2 linked regions of the Callithrix jacchus genome follow. The protein of the gene in region 1 purifies or fractionates together with the protein of each later gene. This does not show direct contact. Links are inferred from orthologs where the notes say so. Each region holds a gene or a part of one and is shown on either strand. Other genes may lie near its edges.

Region 1 (7,948 bases):
ACCAGTCTGGACAACACGGTGAAACCTCATATCTACTAAAAATACAAATATTAGCTGGGTGTGGTGGCTCGCACCTATAGTCCCAGCTACTTGGAAGACTGAGATAGGAGAATTGCTTGAACCCAGGAGGCAGAGGTTGAAGTGAGCTGAGATCTCTGCGCTACTGCACTATAGCCTGGGCAACAAGAGCGAGACTCCATCTCAAAAAAAAAGAAGAGTGCTTACACCATGTTGCTATAACCAGTGATTTTTTTTTTTTTTTTTTTTTTAGGGAAAAAGAGAAAAAGAAGGGGAAAAAAAGAAAAAGGGGGAAAAAGGAATATTACTTCATTCCTAAAATGGGTTTCAATAATGGCCGATCAATATTTTGAGTGTTTAAAGTGGTTAATGCATATTTTATGTGTTTAAAATGGAGACCTCTATTGTGTTTATTTGTTCTGGCTCTGAGTTCAAATCCTGGATATCGTTATCAATTTGTTGTCTCGTTGAATCTAAATCTATGTGTCTTATGTATCTGGGTGTTAAGATCTCTTATTGTTACATTAATCCTTTTACCCTTGTATCCTTATAGCTTTGAAATCTATTTTGTCAAATGTGAAAATTGCAACTCCTGCTTTTTATTTATTTATTTTTGCTCTCCATTTGGTTGGTACGTTTTTTTTTTCCAACCCTTTATTTTGAGTCTATGTATATCTTTGTATATACCGTTGGATTTTGTCTGTATCTTTTGATTGGGAGATTTGGTTGATTTAACTTTAGGGTTGCTGCCATTTGATATTAACTGGCTATTTTGTCCTTTTGTTGATAAAAATTCTTCTTTATGTTAACGCTCTTTACTTTTTGGTGTATTTTTAGAAAGGATCATACTGGTTGTTCCTTTCTGTGTATAATGCTTCTTTTAGAAGTTCTTGTAAAGCAGGCCTGGTGGTAATAAAATCTCTGAGTACTTGCTTGTTCCTAAAAGATTTTATTTTTCCTTCAAATGTAAAGCTTAAATTGGCAGGATATGAAATTCTGGGCTGAAAGTTTTGTTCTTTAAGTATATTGAATATTGGCCCCCACTCTCTTCTAGCTTGTAGGGTTTCCGTTGAGAGATCTGCTGTAAGCCTAATAGGCTTACCTTTATGGGTAACTTGATCTTTCTCTCTGGCTGCCCTTAATATTTTCTCCTTCGTTTCGATCTTGGTGAATCTAACGATTATGTGCCTTGGGGTTGGTCTTCTTGAGGAATATCTTTGTGGTGTTCTCTGTATTGCCTGGGGTTGAATAGTGTCCTGCTTTGCTAAATTAGGAAAATTTTCCTGGATAATGTCCTGGAGAGTATTTTCCAGCTTGACTTCATTCTCTCCGTCACATTCAGGTACACCAATCAAGCGTATATTAGGTCTTTTCACATAGTCCCATATTTCTTGGAGACTTTGCTCATTCCTTTTTATCCTTTTTTCTCTATTCTTGTCTTGTCGTTTTGTTTCATTAAGTTGGTCTTCGACCTCTAATACCCTTTCTTCTGCTTGATCCATTCGGCTGTTTAAGCTTGTACATATTTCACTCAGTTCTCGTGTTGTATTTTTCAACTCCATAAGTTCATTTGTATTCCTCTCTATATTGTCTATTCTTTTCAACATTTCATCGAACCTTTTTTCCAAGTTCTTAGTTTCTTTACATTGGGTTAGAACAAGTTCCTTTAACTCCCAGAAGTTTCTTATCATCCACCTTTTAAAGCCTACTTCAGATAATGGAACACAGTCCTTTTCCATCAGGGCTTGTTCCGTTACTGATGAGTCCTTTTCCATCAGGGCTTGTTCGGTTGCTGATGAGTCCTTTTCCATCAGGGCTTGTTCCGTTGCTGATGGGTTCTGATTTTGAGTATACTCAGCCTTCTTAGGCTGTTTTTTTCCCTTCATTTTAGATGAACCGCCTTTCTAATTAGTTTTCTGAGTCGACGTCCGACTTACTGATTCCCAGTGCTGGGATCCGAGCCACCCACTGTGGCAGCCTAAATAGCAGCGATAAGACTGATGGTGCTCTTCTGCCCGGGAATCTCTGGTCTGGCTTCCCTCTTGAGTCCGCAACAAGCGGCTCTGACTTCCCGGAGCTCCAAACTCTGGTCAGTAGGGGAAGCGGTCCCGTTGGCTCTGCGTGAAGAGCTGCTGCGCCGAGACGCCGGCAAAACCGCTGCAGCGGCCACAAGAGTCGCGCTGGCGACCCGTGGGGCTCCTCCACTGGGAGTCGGCTAATCGGTGAGTGACGAAAATTCGTCTAATGATGTGGCGTCGTCTCGTTCTCTGAGCTTTCACTGGGAGCTACAATCCTGAGCTGTTAGTGGTCGGCCATCTTGGATCGATTTTTTTTTTTAATGAGAAAAAAAAAAATGCTTGGACCAATCTTACTGGGTTGATGAAAATGTTCTAAATTTGATTTACAGTCAGAGTTGCATTATTTGGTAAATTTACTAAAAATCATTGAAGTGTAGAGTCGAAATGGGTTGATGTTATGATATACAAAGAATACCTCAATAAAGCTATTAGAGAAGAGAAAGCTTAGACCTCTTTGAATCCTTCTGAGGGAGCTTCTCAAAGTGAAACTCTGGGTAGGAATTGGGGTTAGTAAAAATGAAAAGACCCAGCCAGGCACAGTGGCTCGCACCTGTAGTCCCAGCTACTCAGGAGGCTGAGGCAGGAGGACTGCTTGAGCCCAGGAGTTTGAGGCAGCAGTGAGCTATGATGGTACCACCCTCGTCTGGGTACATACAGTACAGAACCTCATCTCTCTTAAAAAAAAAAAAAAAGATTCAGCTGGGCATGGTGAACACAAGCACCAATTTTACTCACACTGGGTCAGTTTAAATCCCAGCTCCAGCAAGCTCTTAAACTTTTGGTGCCTTAGCTCCTTTGCCTATAAAAAATGGCTTGAGGCCAGGTGCGGTGGCTCACGCCTGTAATACCAGCACTTTGGGAGGCTGAGGTGGATAATTTGAGGCCAGGAATTTAAGACCAGCCTGGCCAACATGGTGAAACTCCATCTCTACAAAAACTGAACAACATTAGCTGGGCATGGTGATACATACATGCCTGTAGTCCCACTACTCGGGAGGCTGAGGCACGAGAATCGCTTGAATCCAGGGGTGGAGGTTGCAATAAGCCACGATAGAGCCACTGCACTCCAGCCTAGGCGACAAGGTGAGACCCTATCTCAAAAAAAAAAAAGATTTTAAAAAAGGTTTAGTACCCACACTTCCTTGTACAGTTATGACAATTAAAGGATGGATAAGCATTTGTCACAATGCTTAGCTAATATTAAACCTTATTACCGTTATTATTCCTAAGAGTGTCTTTAGGAACCAACCTCTAAGAACATCATTTTGCCCAGATCCTGAGCCAGAAGGCTTTGAGGTGAGCTGCTGGGAATAAAGCTCCAGGTGAGGGAGATGAGTGAAAATGCCCACAGGAAACCACAGGCCATCCAGCACTACGTGTTACCTACCAAGCTTCACTTTCTTCCTTTTCTCATCAAGTTTCTGGGTCCTCTCTGCTGCCTGCTTCTTGGCTTTCCTGACCTTGTCATAGGCAGCCTGGCAGGACAAAGGGGCACAGGGCAGAGGGTCAGCCAGAGAATAAAGACAGGAGCCCCAGCAATCTACGTGGCCCCTAGCCCAAGAACCATCAGAGTGGCAGCCTGGTGACTGAGTCTTCTGGGCTTAGACAGCAAGGACTTAGAGCAAGAACTGTGCCACATGGCAAAGGGCAGAGGACTGAGGCTGAGGGGCAGCAGTGGTCTCTAAGCATGGGGGACGATTCAGATAAAGGAGGCTGTGCTTACCCTGGCAGCAGCGTCGGTCAGCACCTCCAAGGCCTGAGAAAGCTGGTGGAAGAGTTCAGCTAAACGTAAGGATCAAAAAGAGAGAGAGAAGAAAAAAAAAGTTAACACTTTGTGATGGTGTGCTCCCTCAAAAAAAAAAAAAAAACACTTCAAAGAAGCCACAGGATGGCAGAAAAGTTGCGATCAGCAGATGACAGACCAACAAGGAGGGGTGAGCACATCAGCAACTGACCAGACACCCCTGACATGAATGGAAGCCGTGGGTTCCACTTTCTGGAGCCAGGCTGTGTGTGCCTACCCCCCCAAAGCACTCACATGCAGAGCTCTAGCACAAAACGCAATGCGCGGGTGAGTGGGCCTCTCCCCACACCCTTAGAAGAGTCTCACCTGCTCTGGGATTATCTGGATTTTTGTCTGGGTGGCAGGAGAGGGCCTTCTGCCTAAATGCCTTCTTCACCTGGAAGAGTCAGACAGAAGACATGGTCATTCACTCTCATCCCACAAACAGGAAAACCTTGCTAAAAGGGTAAGGGAAATCACGTGCACACCTAAAAGAAAAGCTGCTGGCACCCACTCCATTGCTGCCAGGGAGACCTGCAATGGAGGAGGCCAAGGCCGTGGGGGGAGCAAGCCACTATCGCCCAGCACAGGAGCTGGGCCCACTTCCTTCTAAGCACTCAGTCTCACCACTGCATATATTCAGCGGCTCCCAGAACGGGCAGGAGCACAGTACCCTGCTTTCTCTTTTTTTTTTTTTTTTTTGAGACAGAGTCTCACTTTGTCACCAGGTGCCAGGCTGGAGTGCAATGGCACAATCTCGACTCACTACAACCTCCACCTCCCAAGTTCAAGCAATTCTCCTGCCTCAGCCTCCTGAGTAGCTGGGACTACAGGCGCACGCCACCACGGCCAGCTAATTTTTGTGTTTTTAGTAGAGACAGGGTTTCACTATGTTGGCCAGGATGGTCTCGATCTCTTGACCTCGTGATCCACCCGCCTCAGCCTTCCAAAGTGCTGGGATTACAGGCTTGAGCCACCGTGCCCGGCCAGTACCCTGCTTTCTCTATAGCCATGCGCAGACAGGTACTCTACACATTTTCAGTGGGCCTATAAACTAGGGTGACCTATCTGGAGGAAGATTCAGCCATCAAAATTTAAAATGTTATTTCCCTTTGACCCAGTCCTAGGCATCTGGACTTGTAGAAGTACGGCAAAATAAATATATAAGGATGCTCAGTATGGCACTGTTTATACCAGCTTAACAAGATCCCCGTCAGCAGGGAGACTCATTTAAAGGATTATCATTAGCCAAGTTCAGTGGCTCATGCTTGTAATCTCAGCACTTTGGGAGGCTGAGGCGGGAGGATCACCTGAGGTCAGGAGTTTGAGAACAGCCTGATTAACATGGTGAAAGCCTGTCGCTAATAAAAATACAAAATTTAGCCAGGCATAGTGGCAGGTGCCTGTAATCCCAGAAACTTGGAGGCTGAGACAGGAGAATCACTTGAACCTGGGAGGTGGAGGTTGCAGTGAGCTGAGATCACGCCACTGCACTCTGGCCTGGGCAGCAGAGTGAAACTGTGTCTCAAACAAAATAAAATAAAAGATTATGATTGAGGCCAGGCGTGGTGGCTCACACCTGTAATCACAGCACTTTGGGAGGCTGAGGCAGGCTGATCACTTGAGGTCAGGAGTTGAGACCATCTTGGCCAATAGGGCAAAACCCCATCTCTACTAAAAATATGAAAATTAGCTGGGTGTGGTGGTGCATTTGCCTGTAATCCCAGCTACTTGTGAGGCTGAGGCAGAAGAATTGCTTGAACCCAGAGGCAGAGGTGCAACGTCTCTACTAAAAATACAAAAATTCGCTGGGTGTGGTGGCGTGCACCTATAGTGCCAGCTACTCGGGAGGCTGAGGCAGGAGAATCACCTGAGCCCTAGAGGCAGAGGTTGTAGTGAGCCGAGATTGTGCCAATGCACTCCAGCCTAAGTGACAAAGGGAGACCCTGGCTCAAAAATAGAATAAAAAATAAAATTTTTAAAAAAGTTTGTTCTTTAGGTTTTAGTTCTGACTAAAAAAAAAAAAAAAAAAGAAAGAAAAAAGAAAAGAAATTTTAAAAGTTTGTTCTGGAATTTGCTATGCCTATTTTTAAAAATTAAAAAACAAGGCCGGGCACGGTGGCTCAAGCCTGTAATCCCAGCACTTTGGGAGGCCGAGGCGGGTGGATCACGAGGTCAAGAGATCGAGACCATCCTGGTCAACATGGTGAAACCCTGTCTCCACTGAAAATACAAAAAATTAGCTGGGCACGGTGGTGCGTGCCTGTAATCCCAGCTGCTCAGGAGGCGGAGGCAGGAGAATTGCCTGAACCCAGGAGGCGGAGGTTGCAATGAGCCGAGATCGCGCCATTGCACTCCAGCCTGGGTAACAAGAGCGAAACTCCGTCTCAAAAAAAAAAAAAAAATTAAAAAACAAAAGATTATAATAGAGGTATCCATGTTCTGACACAGATCTTACTATAAACTTTTGAGTTTAAAACAAACAAACAGCTTGGGTGCAGTGTGGCTCACACCTGTAAACCCAGCACTTTGGGAAGCTGAGGTGGGAGGACTGCTTAAACTCAGAAGTGTAAGACCAGTCTGAGCAATACAGTAAGTCTTCATTATTGCCAAAAAATAAAAAAATTAGCTTGGTGTGGTGGCTCCCGCCTGTAATCCCAGCATTTTGGGAGGCTGAGGCGGGCCGATCATGAGGTCAGGAGATTGAGACCATCCTGGCTAACAATGGTGAAACCCCATCTCTACTAACAATACAAAAAATTAGCCAGGTGTGGTGGCACATGCCTGTAATCCTAGCTACTTGGGAGGCTGAGGCAAGAGAATCACTTGAACCTGGGAGGTGGAGGTTGCAGTGAGCCAAGATCATGCCACTGCACTCCAGCCTGTGTGACAGAGCAAGATTCCATCTCAAAAAAAAAAAGAATTAAAAAAAAATGGCTGGGCGTGGTGGCTTACTGCTGTAGTCCCAGCACTTTGGGAGGCTGAGGCGGTCAGATCACGAGATCAGAAGATCGAGACCATCCTGGCTAACATGGTGAAACCCCGTCTCTACTAAAAATATAAAAAATCAGCCAGGCGTCGTGGCACGTGCCTGTAATGCCAGCTACTTGGGAGGCTGAGGCAGGAGAACTGCTTGATCCTGGAAGGCGGAGGTTGTAGTGAACTGAGATTGTGCCACTGCACTCCAGCCTGGGTGACACGGTGAGACTCTGTCTCAAAAAAAAAAAAAAAATATATATATATATATATATATATATATATATATATATATATATATATAAGGAGCTGAACATTCTGTATTTCAAAGTCGTTTAGGAAACAACTGCCAGTCTCATATACTGGCTAGATATTAGCAGGGAGAGAAGTGAGGTCCATACAGAGCTCTCCAAGAGCCCCTCGGTGCAGCATGCACTGACCCGCCTTGCGTTCACTGATAGGGATCTAGGATATGCAGGTGCTGATGGGAGACTGGGAACACAGGGACAAACAGGCATGTTCTCTGGCTCTGAAGAAGAATACTGTTTAGCAAAGAGGATTCCAGGGAAAACTATCAGTTCCAATTACATGTGTGAGATGCCTAAGAGTGGTCCATTAAAATGGGAACACAGAGAAGGCAGCGACTAATTTAGCTCTGAAGGCTTCCTGGAGGAGGCACTATCTGAGCTGGGTCTAAGGTGAGCAGTTCTCCAGGCAGAGAGCCTGAAATGGCCTTTAAAACAGGGGGGTTTAAAAAAAGGACCTTTGCTATTTCTCCTCTAAGTTGATCTGGAGAAGTCTAGACTCAAGAGGTAAGCAGCCGGCATCTGCCAGGTGAGCACTTTCGGGGCAGCTCCTGCCTGCATGAGACAGCACCGGGCCCAGGACCTCAGGGGTGTGCTGCCACCTGCTGGGCCACAGCCAGCACCACCCTTGACCTGCCAAGGCAACTGTGGGCAAGCTGTGAACCGCCAGGGCAAGCTGTTTGGTTCAACTACTTGAGAGAGTGAAGTCTAGACTCTTCTCCAGATCAACTTAGAGGAGAAATAGAAAAGTTCTGCTTTAATCAGTAAAAGGTACTAAGAACAAAAAG
Region 2 (7,948 bases), on another chromosome or scaffold:
AAAAAATTATACAAGTCATGCATGTTTATCATTAGAAAATCTGGGGAAAAAATAGTAAAAGAGCAAATAAAAGCCACCATAATCATGCTGCTGAGAATTAACTATTGCAACATTTTGGTTCTTTACTAATAGTTTTTTTTTTTTTAAAGTCTGTGTGGCTGTACTGCAGTTGTGATTAGGATCTGTTGGGTCCTTTTTCAGAGTGATTGAAAGCAGTCACTGAAATTAGCGAATTTTAATATCATCTCTTTGAAATGAAGTAATGTAGAAAGGCTTTATTTTGTTAAAGCCCATCCATTTTTTTTTTGGGGGGGGGCAAAAAGAGTGTCAGAGCTTGGAAATGATAATTTTAACACTAAATGGTATTATAGTGTGACTAACTCATGTGGGCTTTTTTCTAGGGATAAAGCTGCCCAAAGAGACAATGAAGAGGAAACAACAGATGATCCACGAAAACTTAAACCTGGAGAAATAGATCCAAATCCAGAAACAAAACCAGCACGGCCTGATCCAATTGATATGGATGAGGGTAAGTGTGTGCTTTGAGGAATTTATTTCTTTGGTAACTATAAACTCCTCAGGTCTCTTTTTAACTCTTTTAGTTCCTTTCTGAACTCCTCTACTTTAGAATCCCTTCCTTTTTTTTTTTTGAGACAAGGTCTTGCTCTTGTTACCCAGGCTGGAATGCAGTGGCACAATCATGGTTCATTGCAGTGTTCACCTCCCGTGCTTAAATGATCTTCCCACCTCAGCCTCCTGAGTAGTTGGGACTACAGATGTGTGCCACCATGCCTGGCTAATTTTTTAATTTTTTCTAGAGATGGGGTCTCCCTGTGTTACCCAGGCTGGTCTCAAACTCCTGGGCTTAAGCTATCCTCCCTTCTCTGCTTCCCAAAGAGTTGATATTATATCTGTGAGCCACCATACCTGGCCCCTATTTCTGTTAGCAGTTCTTATTCTAAGTATCTTTCCAAATGTGTCCAGTGTTTTCTGTTATAGAGTAATTGCTTTTTCTGAATAGTGTCCCTTTATCTTGTTTTTTCAGTTCAGTTAATTAAGCAGTGTTACTGGGTGTGGTGGTGTGTGCCTGTAGTGCTGGCTGCTAAGCAAATTGAGGTGGGATGATCTCTTGAACCCAAGAGTTGGAGGCCAGTGTGGGCAATATAACGAGACCCTGTCTTTAAAGTTGAGTAGTGTAATTCTACTGGGTGGATTTTTCAGAGGCTGGAGGTGAGCTCTTGAGGATCCTGTTTCTCATTCCTATTCCATGGAGAGAGGCAGCAAGTTGGAATATTGGACCTCAGTCCTCCTATTAATTACTAAATTGACTACAGGCAAGTTATTTATTCTGTGTGAGAAGGCAACACTGTGAGACAGTGATGGAGACTTACAAGTGATTCTGTGAGGTATTGAATCAGGAGTTCTGTACTAGAAAGTATATGGAATCAATCTAAGTGTCCATCAATGGATGAATGGATAAAGAAAATGTGGGCTGGGCATGGTGGCTCACGGCTGTAATCTCAGCACTTTGGGCATATCACTTGAGCCCAGGAATTTGAGACCAGCATAGCCAACATGGTGAAACCCTGCCTCTATAAAAAATACAAAAATTAGCCAGGTGTGGTGGCGCATGCCTGTAGATCCAGCTACTGGGGAGGCTGAGGTGGGAGGATCACTTGAGCCTAGGAGGCTGAGTTTGCAGAGAGCCAAGATCAAGCTTTGGCACTGCAGCCTGGACAACAGAGCAAGACCCTGTCTCAAAAAAAAAAAATAGTGATGTACACACACACACACACACACACGCACGCACACACAAAATACTATTTGGCCATAAAAAACAATGAAATGTCATTTGCAGCAGCATGGATGGCACTAGAAGTCATTATGTTACGTGAAATAAGCCGGGAACAGAGAGAGAAATACTGCATATTCTCACTCATCTGTGGGAGCTAAAAACATTTATTTCATGGAGGTAGAGAATAGAGTGATAGATGCCAGAGGCTGGGAACAGTGTGTAGGTGGGAGAGCGGGATGAAGACGGGTTGGTTAATGGGTACAAGTATAGATGGAAAGAAATAAGTTACAATGTTTGGTAGCAGAATAGGGTCACTATAGTTAGCGACAGTGTATTATGTATTCCAAAGTAGCTGGAAGAGAGATCTGAAATAAATACTCAAGGCAGTGGATACCCCAGATACCCTGACTTGATCATTACACATTCTATGCATGTAACAAACTCTCACACGTACACTATAAATATGTAAAGTATGTATTAACAGAAAATCAAGAATTGGATTTTCAACCTGTGTGTGCCACCTATTAGTTGTTTGACCTTCAGCAAGTCTTAAAATCTCTTCGAGCTGTGATTCCCTTTGTTGCTAGATGGAGAATACTAGTAACTGCTTTACCTTAGCAGGGTTGTTGTGAAGCATTCAGTGACTATTTGTTGAGTTTCTAAAATATAAAAGTTTGAATGTAGTGGTTCCCAAAGGCAGGCTGTGGCTAGGCTGGCTGCATCATTATCACAGGGGGTACATTTAAAAATAGAAATATGAGGGCTTCCCCTGTATATACGGAGTCAGTACATCTGAGGTGGTGTGAGGGGCAAGGGAAGAGCAGTGACCTTGGAATCTGAGTATTTTACAAGTTCCCATGTGATTTGGTTGGACAGCCTCGCATAGGAATTGTTTGAAGGCATCAATAATGGCGTGTGTTACTCCATTCCACAGAGCCATGCAAAATGTATTGGAGGAGAGAAATTGTTCTGAGGGAAAAAAAAGCATCTCATGATAGCAGTTCTCTCATAATGAAATCGTTTTTACCATATTTCACAATTTGTGCTGTGTCAGTTAGTTGATGATAATGAAGGATACAGTAATTCTAGCCACTGTTTGATGAATAGGATGCTTTACATATTTCATTTTACTTAGCTCTTCTCAACATCCTTGTGAAGTAGGAATTGTCTTCCAATTTTATAGGAAGATACACTTAGGGAGGGTGAGTAAGTGACTATAAGGTCACATAGCTAGCAAGTGGTGGGCCTGATTTTTAACCTAGGTTCTTTGATTTCAAAACTCAAGCTGTTTCCATTATGCTACACTGTGAGTATATTTATGTTTTTTTCTAATAGAGTAATAGAGTGTCTCTTACATACCTTGCTTGTAAGGTATGTAAGAACTAAGAAAAAACTTAGTTTTTCTTCTTTTTTTTTTCCCCACATGAAAGTTTTTAGTTTATTAAGCTTCTTGTGAAAAATCCACAATGGCCACAGGTAACATCATTGCAGCACCTTTACCCCTTTGGCTGTGATCCAGTCCCCAGCTCACTTTTTGCCAGCATCAACATTGGCCTTTGTGGTCTCCCTGACTTTCTTCATTCTGTTCCTGCGTTCCTTTCGTTGTGTTCTTGAGGTCTTTTTCTTCTCATATAGGCCATGTCTTTCAAGTCTATGTTTGGTTTCATTTTTCTTTGCATACAGGGGATCATAAATCATGCCAAAGCCAGTTGTCTTACCACCACCAAAATGAGTTCTGAATCCAAATACAAAGATGACATCCGGTGTGGTCTTGTACATTTGGCTAGTTTTTCCCAAATTTCTGTCTTAGGCACTGTTGCTTTCCCGGGGTAAAGGACAATGACCATTTATTTCCTCTGAAGCAGTCGGTTGGTCATGAACTTTCTAGTGTGGATAGTTACTGTGTCGTTCATGATGGCGGTCTCAGTTTTTCTTCTTTTAATTTTTGCAGATGAACTTGAGATGCTTTCTGAAGCCAGAGCTCGCTTGGCTAATACTCAGGGAAAGAAGGCCAAGAGGAAAGCAAGAGAGAAACAATTGGAAGAAGCAAGGTATGTGTGGATATAGGAATAAAAAGCAAAGTGTTTTTTTCACTTAACTATCAACACAGAATACTTCTGTGACCAGATAGGTGTTTTCTTCCCCCCACCCACCCCCCACCACCAGCAAGCAGGCAATCCTGCAGTGGATAGCAGGTTGTCCTCTAATTCAGTTAACTCTAATACTGTCTATCTGGAGATAGCTCCAGATCTCACAGGTTGAAGACTTAGTCCCACAAGACTGAACACCAGTTTTGATGCTTGACCACAAGCCTCAGGTTGTTTTTCTTGTGTTTCTGACTAAAGAGCTGGCTTCCACTGCCTTCTCCTTGGGTTCTATTCATTTGCTAGAGGGCCCACAGAACTCAAGAAAATACTCAATTTACTAGTTTATTATAAAGGATATGTTAAAGGATACAAATTAACAGCCACATGAAGAGATACATAGGGTGAAGTCTGGAAGGGTCCTGAATGCAGGTGCTTATGTCCCATTGAAGCTGGGATATGCCACCCTCTGAGCAAGTGGGTGTGTTCTTGTTCACCTTTTTGGAAGCCCCATGTATTTGGCTGCCCACAAGTTCTCCAGACTCTGTCCTTTTGGGTTTGTATGGAGGCTTCATTACATAGGCAAGATTGATTACATCATTGGCCGTTGCTTATCAACTGAACCCTCAGCCCTTCTCCCCTCTCCTGAGGTTGGGGGGTAGGGCTGAAAGTCCCAATCCTCTAATACTGCCTTGGTCTTTCTGGTGACAGCCATCAGTCAACTCATTAACATACAGAAAGACCCTTATCACTCGGAAGAGTCCCAGGATTTTAGAAGTTGCATTGTTGTAAACAGGGATGAAGACCAAATATATTATTTCACAATGTCACAGTGTGGTTGTTACCATTCATAGTTCAGTAATTAGTCTAGGCATCCTAAGGACCAATAAAAATGACATGATTTATTTTTTTTATTTGTTTTGTTTTTGAGATGGAATTTCGCTCTTTTTACCCAGGCTGGAGTGCAATGGCGCAATCTCGGCTCATCACAGCCTATTCTCCTGCCTCAGCCTCCTGGGTAGCTGGGATTACAGGCACGCGCCACCACTCCCACCTAATTTTTTTTTTTTGTATTTTTAGTAGAAACGGGGTTTCACCATGTTGACTAGGATGGTCTCTATCTCTTGACCTCATGATCCACCCGCCTCGGCCTCCCAAAGTGCTGGGATTACAGGCTTGAGCCACCGCGCCCGGTGCGACATGATTTATTAACCCTGTTGGGTGAATGATAATTGGAATTGTCCAATTCTCATTTTGCTAGTATTCTTTACCTTCTTTATTTCTCTGAAAACATCTTGTATTTTTTTCCCTAACCATTTCAGAATAGTTAGAGAAAACCATATTTTAAAAAATTTAAGCTGGCCAGTTGCTGGCCCAGTTTATCCAGTATGTTGAGTTTGTTCTGTTGTCTTATGAGAGCTTCACTTGTTGTAGCTATTTTGGAGTCATGATTTTAGGACACACAAGATTATGTGTCTTTTGTATGACTGCTAATTAGTTACTTTGCTTGATTGGTATTGGGCAGGCACTGGCCGTGAAATAGAATACTTGGCTGAACAAAGAGGGAATTAATGAGCCTAGAACCAAATTTAGGCCCTCACAGAAATCTTTATTTAAAAAGTAAATGAGTATATATTGCACATTGTCTTTCACCCAGGATTTTCTTCGCTTTCCCCTTTTTTCCTTTTGGTTAAGTCCATGATTGATGTCCCAGTAACTCAGAATCCAAGATGAAGTCAGTAAAGGGCAAATTTGGACCGGCCCTGGAATAACCTCCCTGTCCTACACAGTGCCCCTTTGTGGACCCCAGGTTGGCCTGCTGGTGCTTCTTCACCTGATGACGAGCAGTATGTTGGAATTAATGGCTTTGAAGTGCCAGATTCTGGGATGGAGGATTTTTTTCATGCCTGAGGATGCATGTTGGCAGAGCTGACCAGCTGCTAGCCTAGAATAGTTAACTTATGTTGAGGGTATGAGCTGCCTGGGACAGTAAACAGAAACCAAGAGGAAGTACTAAACTTTCTCCCATTCTTGGCCACCTCTCTATTCTGTATACTATTTAGAGTTAAATACTGTGAGTAAGGTTGAAAAAAAATTACTTTTCCATTTTTATCCGTGGTTGTTGGGGACCAAATTTTTAGAGCCTTTTAACCATGTGGATTGGACCAGGGATACAGCAAATAAATATGTGAAAAATCTCCAAGTATGGCTAGCATTGATTGCTTTAAATAAAAGTTGCAGATTTTAATTTACCCTATAATTTCTTGTAGGCATTCTTATAGATTCTGCAAATCTTTATAAGTTATATTATAACAGGCTGGGTTAGCCTTTATGCAGAATGCAGCGCAGGGCTATTTGTTTTAAATGTTAAATTACAAATCTACCTTTTAACTTAAAGCAGTTTTTTATTGATTATAAAGTAGCACATTTTTTCTTCCAGTATTGTTAATGTTCTAATTTTGGGACATATGCAATATAATACTTTATGACTTGGTTATAGACATTTAGCATTATGGTGTAAAGGTTTTCTAATGTGGTTTGAAGTCTTTATTTCCATTATTTAAAGAATGAAATTACTTTAAAATTTGAAATATATATCTCTAAACTTTTCTTTCAACATAGATGTGTATTTATACATGTATATATACACTAACATTTCTACAAAATTGAATCATACTGTATTGTTTTAATGAGAAATACTGTAAATCTTACTGAGATTTCCTTGTATTGTTGAATCATTTTTGTTTTATTGCTTTTAATTTTTATTTTTTTTTAAGAGAGGGTTTTTCTCTGTTGCCTTGGCTGTAGTGCAGAGTTCACTGCAGCCCTCAACTCCTGGGCTCAAGTAATCCTCTGCCTTAGCCTCCTGAGTAGCTGGATCTACCAGATGCACACCACCATGCCCACCTAATTACAAAAAAATTTTTTTGTTGAGACGGAGTCTTACTGTGTTGCCCAGGCTGGTCTTGAACTCCTGACCTCAAGCCATCCTTCTTTCTTGGACTCCCGAAGTGCCAGGATTACAGGTGCGAGCCACTGTGATTGGCCTGTCTTACTGGTTTTCAATCTTCTCGTCTTTGGCTTTCAACATTTTTAATATGATGTGTCTGTCTGTAGATTTCTTTTTGTTTATCTTGGAGTTCATTGAGCTTACCGGATATGTAGATTAATATTTTTCAATAAATTTTTCAAAATTTTGGCCATTAAACATATCTTCACACATTTTATTCTGCTCCTTTCACTTCTCTCCTTTTGGTACTCCTCTTATGCTTATGTTGGTGCATTTAATAGTGCCACATATTTCTCTGAGGCTCTGTTCATATTTCTTCATTCTTATTCTCTCCTGTTGAGCCTCTCTAGTGAAGTTTACATTTCAGCTTTGTACTTTTTTTTTCTCTTTTGGACAGAGTCTTGCTTTGTCACCCAGGCTGGAGTGCACTGGCACAATCTCTGCTTACTTCAGCCTCCACCTGTTGGGTTTAAGCAGTTCTCCTGCCTCAGCCTCCTGAGTACCTGGAACTACAGGCGTGTGCTACCATGCTCGCCTAATTTTTGTATTTTTTGTAGAGACGGAGTTTCACCCTGTTGGCCAGGCTGGTCTCAAACTCCTGACCTCAGGTAGTCTGCCTGCCTTGGCCTCCCAAAGTGCTGGGATTATAGGTGTGAGCCACTGTGGCCACTTTTTTTTTAATTAAGTAAATTAATTTTTCTTAAAATTTTTTTTCCACGTTTTTGTTATTTCCTTCCTTTTCCCTACTTAGCTGATCAGCTTTGTGCTTTTCAATTTGAAAACTTCATTTGGTTCTTCTTAAACATTTCTGTCTCTTTATTGATATTCTCTATTTGATGCAACATTGTCGTCATACCTTCCCTTACTTTTTGGTTTCCTTTTTGTTTTGGAACATATAGTGGCTACTTTCAAGTCTGTTAATCTGACATCTTGTTGCTCACATAGGCAGTTTCTGTTGCTTGTATTTTTTCTAGGATATGGATCATTCTTTCCTGTTCCTTTGCATGTATTATAATTTTTTGTTGGAAACTAGACATTTTAGATGATAGAGCAATTTTG

Evidence for each region. The genes of interacting proteins can lie anywhere in the genome.
Region 2: the proteins of DNAJC17 (region 1) and CDC5L purify together in Homo sapiens (affinity purification with mass spectrometry; 3 studies listed by BioGRID and IntAct, with this or other methods). This does not show direct contact. The link is inferred for Callithrix jacchus from reciprocal best matches to the Homo sapiens genes DNAJC17 and CDC5L.

Annotation. Positions count from the first base shown.
Region 1 is NC_133509.1:45,782,334-45,790,281, reverse strand, and holds part of DNAJC17 (dnaJ homolog subfamily C member 17), read right to left. Parts: intron 4,277-7,948; coding exon 4,207-4,276; intron 3,879-4,206; coding exon 3,820-3,878; intron 3,572-3,819; coding exon 3,484-3,571; intron 1-3,483. UniProt on the Homo sapiens protein: May negatively affect PAX8-induced thyroglobulin/TG transcription.
Region 2 is NC_133505.1:52,852,128-52,860,075, forward strand, and holds part of CDC5L (cell division cycle 5-like protein), read left to right. Parts: intron 1-401; coding exon 402-529; intron 530-3,746; coding exon 3,747-3,846; intron 3,847-7,948.